Linked DNA regions of Neurospora crassa OR74A. The protein of the gene in region 1 binds, or shares a complex with, the protein of each later gene. Links are inferred from orthologs where the notes say so. Each region holds a gene or a part of one and is shown on either strand. Other genes may lie near its edges. The genes, in order: NCU10029 and trx.

Evidence for each region.
Region 2: the proteins of NCU10029 (region 1) and trx are in contact, whole or in part, in a crystal structure (PDB 3PIN), measured with the Saccharomyces cerevisiae proteins. The link is inferred for Neurospora crassa OR74A from reciprocal best matches to the Saccharomyces cerevisiae genes MXR1 and TRX2. Residues at the interface, in NP_010960.1 of Saccharomyces cerevisiae: Trp27, Gly28, His31, Gly173, Tyr174, Ala175, Cys176, Pro177, Thr178, His179; in NP_011725.3 of Saccharomyces cerevisiae: Trp30, Cys31, Gly32, Pro33, Asp59, Val70, Ser71, Ser72, Met73, Pro74, Gly90, Ala91, Asn92.

What each region holds. Positions count from the first base shown.
Region 1 is NC_026501.1:9,765,319-9,768,203, forward strand, and holds NCU10029 (peptide methionine sulfoxide reductase msrA), read right to left. Parts: upstream 1,715-2,885; 5' UTR 1,544-1,714; coding exon 1,282-1,543; intron 1,176-1,281; coding exon 826-1,175; 3' UTR 501-825; downstream 1-500. Other genes in the region: NCU10028 (bax Inhibitor family protein), read left to right, coding at 1-370. UniProt on the Saccharomyces cerevisiae protein: Has an important function as a repair enzyme for proteins that have been inactivated by oxidation. Catalyzes the reversible oxidation-reduction of methionine sulfoxide in proteins to methionine.
Region 2 is NC_026503.1:672,035-674,899, forward strand, and holds trx (thioredoxin I), read left to right. Parts: upstream 1-1,197; 5' UTR 1,198-1,299; intron 1,300-1,371; 5' UTR 1,372-1,426; coding exon 1,427-1,810; 3' UTR 1,811-2,153; downstream 2,154-2,865. UniProt on the Saccharomyces cerevisiae protein: Participates as a hydrogen donor in redox reactions through the reversible oxidation of its active center dithiol to a disulfide, accompanied by the transfer of 2 electrons and 2 protons.

The DNA.
Region 1 (2,885 bases):
CGCCATGATGGGCGCCATCTCGTTTGTCGGTGCCACCGCTAAGCAGGAGAAGTACCTCTACATTGGCGGTCCTCTTCTCGCCGGTGCTGCCATTGTCGCCGTTTCTGGCTTCGCTCCTCTGGTTCTCCCCGCCACTGCCGTCCGCACCCTTGCCTTCACCGAGAACCTCTGGCTCTATGGTGGTCTTGCTGTCTTCGGTGGCTTTACCCTCTATGATGTCCAGAGGGTTCTCTACCATGCTCGTCTTGCCCAGGCTGGCGTCATCAAGGAGGATCCCGTCAACGAGTCCATCTCGCTTGAGCTTGACTTCCTCAACATCTTTGTTCGCATGGTGCAGATTCTCATGATGCAGCAGAACCGCAGGAAGTAAGCGGTGTTTCTAGGATGAGTCGAACCAAGAAAGCGTTGAACAAGATACCAGATCGTTTGCCTTTGAAGTTTTTGTCAGCACTTTGCTCAGTGTCGGTTGTTGACGGAGTCACGCAAGAAGGAGCTGTTGGTCCGATTCGGTTCAGGCAGTTGTTTGTATTCTACTTGTAAATTTAGATAGATATCCCAAGATAACTCCGAAAAAAAAAACGGCAAAACCCAACATCTTTCTGCCGTCCCAAACGCCGCCTGATGCAATGTTGTCGCTAGTATGTTAAATCCGCCCATGCCGTGTATGTTGTCCGGGATCCCGCTGTGTTGAATTACCATCCCATCATGTCTCGTCCGGATCCTGCCCGAATGTCATCCCCAGGTTGTGCTGGGCGCACTCTTGCTACGCCCAGGACTCAGTTTGGTGCGCGCTCGGGGCGGCACAGTTGGTCAAACACCAAGAGCCTACTTGAGCTCAGGGAACTTGCGCAAGAAGTGACTGGGGCACTCGTACCCATCGGGGTTGTTCACCAAGTACAGCTGGTGGTACTGCTCGGCGTCCCACCACTCCTTGGCGGGGAGGATCTCAGTAACGATCTTACCACCCCACCACTGTTCGTTGGCTTTCTTGGTGATCTCCTCGGCAACCTTCTTCTGTTCATCGTTGTGATAGAAAATGCCGCTGCGATACTGCGCGCCACGATCGGGCCCCTGCTGGTTGTGCGTCGTGGGGTCGTGCATCTTGTAGAAGAACTCGAGAATTTGGGTGTAGGAGAGACGGGTGGGATCGTAGATCAGGAGGGTAGCTTCGGCGTCTTTGGTCTTGTCAGCGACACAGTCGAGTGAACAAGCTTGAAGCGAGGGGGACCGCATCCCCAAAAGGGGCGGCAGAAGGCGTCGCCAGAGAGGTAAAAGACTTACGGCCAGTGTTGCCAGAGCAAACCTGCTTGTAGGAGGGGTTGGAGGCGTCTCCGCCAATGTAGCCAACACGCGCATCGTAAAGACCCTTGTCGGCAAAGTGCTTGCGGTAGAGGTGCTCAACGCCCCAGAAGCAGCCGGCGGCGACGGTGGCCTTCTCGGCGCCCTCAGGGACGGTGACGGGGCTGGAAGGGAAGGCGGTAGTGGACATTTTGGAGGTCTGGGTGTTGAGGGAACGGAAGATGCGACCGAGGAGCGAAGACATGCGTTACGTTGTTCGGAATGGGACTTGGCGAAGCTGATGGATGGAGGTCGGGGGCTTTATGAAGCTGCGTAGGGCTGAGTAATATGAAAGTGGACCAAGGTGGATGACGAAAGGTGAAATGGAGATGGCGTTGTTTGCAAATTTTGAATGCGCTCTTTTTGGCCATGTTACGTCGGTTCACCGCGGCAGAGGGTGCCTCCACAAGTCCCCGACCGACGGGCAGTGGAGCGACATCCAGCCCGCCCGCACCGAGCCCCAGCTGCCCTGGGCTCCCGCCACGACGGATCTAGGCCGACCCGCACACACAAGATACCCGACCACCCGGACGACCCGGACGACCTGACCAGACCACGACCCGCCCGAAGAGACGCTGCAGAAAGCTGTAGAGGTATGTACCGTGTCAGAACATCTGGATGGCGGCTACGCAGTATGGTGCCGAGCAGGATACCTCTACCCAACGGAAGGCATCCCGCATTGAGGCTGAGAATGGTTCTATAGCGGGGCCGCCTGCATCCGTTTCCTGTGTCAGCATCATTGAAGGCTGTGGGATGCCCAGCGTCCCATCTTGGTCATGCAGCCCCCTACGTCCTCCCCTTACTCAAGCCAGAAACCTACCTCGAATTCACCATCTACCTACCTCTAGGGAAAAGCCTGCACTGCTGCCACACATATCTTTCCATGCTCCCCCCCCAAGTGGCTGGCAGTGTCCGGGTTTCCAGCAGCCTGTGGCGTTGCTGCCCTGGGGTCGTTAGGTAGGGGGGTCATCATTACGAAATTGAGCCAATCAGCTAACACCATTTACCCAAATTTACCTCTAGGTACTGAAAACTACCTATTTCACCTCCTTTGACCTCCGTGGAAATGCCAACCAGTATCGCGAGATTTTACGGGACATCTACGCAGCCACCTCTGGCCCTCAAGAAACGCCGGCTGGTATCGCGAATCATGAGACCTACCATTCACGCATATCCCGTACAACTCGCCAAATCCACGCAATTACTGAAATCATTTACAGGGAGCCTTTACTGGTGAAACGAACGGGCCCTGATGGGTAACAAGAATACGCGTATAGCGTATACGCGTACAACATATTCTAGTTGCGGTACGTCCTCCACATCCAATTGTAGATCTACTATGTACCTAGAGATACTCACCATCCTTGGACTTGGACTTGAGAGTTAACCTGGTGCTGGTCATTTACTGTGAACTTGAGTTCCCCCCTCCGTCAACTGGGCGGGCAATTCAATGTTTTCAGTCTCAGAAGGATTGCGTGCACTGCCAGACGTCTATGTACCTCTACATGGCGTTGACTTATAAAATCTGTTGTCCTCGTCATCTCCTG
Region 2 (2,865 bases), on another chromosome or scaffold:
CTTTCGCGAGTCGTTGGGTTCCCGGCTCTTTGCAAGTTGAGGTTCAAGATAGACATCACTTGGCAATAATACACGACCCAAATTGGCATTGCGTTTCGTCCTACCGGCAAAGTTTCTTGATCAGGCTTCAGTAGGCGGCAAGATAGGGCACTTGAGTACACCCGAGCTAGAATTCATGCTGGAAGGGAGGTCTAGGGGTATGGAGGGTATGGAGACGTTTATATAGCGGCCGACACATACTGCGTACTGCGTAGTAGAGGTAGTAAAGAATTGCTCACTCCAGACTGGCAAAGATCGACGGCAGGCATTTGCATCACATGTTGTGTGTGATCTGAGGCACATGGGCTCTTGGCATAAGTACGGTGGCCCAAGTCTGGGTTATGCTCAATTGAAAAGTTTTGGTTGCAAAAAAGTCCCTGGCAGTGGCAACCGCTAGACTCGCACCGAAGGGTACCATTCGAATGCACACTAATGCAACCCCGACATCCAACTCCAATTCCAACTCTAAGCAATGAAGCAATGAAGCAATGAAGCAATGAAGTAATGAGAGTCAATGGGAGTTAATGGGAGTCAATGGGAGTCAATAGAGCCAATGGGCGGGAGCTAAGGTTTTGAGTAGTAGTGCAAATAGACCCCTAGACCTTCTCCAAATTCCAAAAATTTGGGGTACCTTTAAGGTGATAATGCAAATGGATCCTTTCGCCTTCCACTTAGGAAAAAGAAAAAAAAAGAAAAAAGCGAAGAGAAAGAAAGAGAGAGAGGTTGAGGGGCAAAAGAAAAAACGGAAGAAAAGTAAGGGGGGGGAAGAGAGAAGAAGAAAAATATCAAAAGAATATAAAGATGGATGGTGGTTAGCGCTTACTTTGTTACATTGATAGGTGTGAAGGACGGGAAGTGGATAGAGGCGTTGATATAAAATAGCTTGCAGCTGAGGCCAAATGGAAGCTCGGACCAGTTTTCAATTGAGTATAACCCAAACTTGGGCCACCGTACATAAGTCGAGATCGCCAAAGAGACACAATCGCGGCTTGGGCGATGGAGCGGGCTGGATCAGGGAGCTTATCGGTTACCTATCTACATAGTAGGTACCTCTAGGTCCAGTACGCAGGTACGTTATCAGCCATGACCCACCCCCTTCTACTGTGTACCTCTACCTACCCCGCCAACGACAGACACGGCTCACCTCACGGTGACGGTCGCGTCCAGCGGTTATAGTGAATGGTTATGTAGTCCCCTAACAAAGTTGAAAGCCGACGCCTGCCAGCAACTCTCGCCGCAACTTGCGATTTCTTAGCCAAGGTGTGTACAACCCTTATCGCCGGAGCCATCTCCTACGGGCAGTTCAGGTTACTTAACCGTGAAAATTTGCAGCAATCTACTTCGCAATCGATTCTCCCTCGACCGAACACACACAAACATCATCGCAATGTCGGACGGCGTCAAGCACATCAACTCGGCCCAGGAGTTTGCGAACCTCCTCAACACAACCCAGTACGTCGTCGCTGACTTCTACGCCGACTGGTGCGGGCCTTGCAAGGCCATTGCGCCCATGTATGCCCAGTTTGCGAAGACCTTCTCCATCCCCAACTTCCTCGCCTTTGCCAAGATCAACGTCGATAGCGTCCAGCAGGTTGCTCAGCACTACCGTGTCTCCGCCATGCCCACCTTCCTCTTCTTCAAGAACGGCAAGCAGGTCGCCGTCAACGGTTCCGTCATGATCCAGGGCGCCGATGTCAACAGTCTGCGGGCCGCTGCCGAGAAGATGGGCCGTCTGGCAAAGGAGAAGGCCGCTGCCGCTGGCTCGTCGTGAGGTTCGGAAAGGAAAGAAAACAAACAAAAGAGATCAAAAGCATACAGAGCACCCTGTTGTGGATCAAGTGTACATACTACTACACTACAACATGGACATTTGCGTCTGACTATTTTCGGCGGGGGTTGGAGATCAGCTGTTGCTGAATGAACCGAATAGAAAACTGTCGGTTGTTCAGGTTATGATGTCATGGGATCTTCGGGCGACGGTCTGATAAGTACCCATGGGCATGATCACACCGTGACCGTGACCCTTGAGCCCCAATATCTGCCGGATACTTAACTATCATATACTATGTACACTACTGGATAGTACACACAGTGATCAATCACCTCCGCCCTTGACTCATTGACCCTATCAGTCGGCCATCCTACAAGACCTTTTGTTTTTCTTGGCGTTTCCCTATATCAGCATAACACTCCATCGTGACCCCCATCTGCCACACCACTATTCAACAGCACTATGTCAACCTCACGTAACGGCGAGAGACATGGCAAGCAAAAGTCTCGCGACACAACCCCAGAGAGCTATCTTGGGAGCTCACCAGACAGAGGCGACTCTAATGTTATCCAGCAATATCAGCCACAAAGGCTTCAACAACAGCAGCAATCGGTCCAAGGGACAACAAGAGGTAGTCGCAGTGGCGCTCTTGCCGTTAGGCTCGATATGGACTTGGATATCGACTTGCAACTGAGGGCAAAGATAAAGGGAGACATCACACTTTCTATGCTGTGAGTCTTAATCACGTTTATATAAGTTGATTTCACGGCTAACCGATCTATGAACGGCAGGGAAGGAGACCAGAAATGATTATCGACAATGACTCGGAAAGATGACCTCAAAATCAATATTTTAATTTGGTAGCCTGAACATGGTCATGTTTTCTAGTCTCAGTATGCTTCTTGCGTTCCAGTATCAACTGTTGTCATCACAGTCAACTATCAGGTGATGCCTCCATCACCAACGCATGTGGCACCGCAAGCCCGTGAGCAGGCAGCTACCCACCCTCCCCGTTCATCCCACCACTCCTGACACGCGGCCTCTTTGTCGGAGAC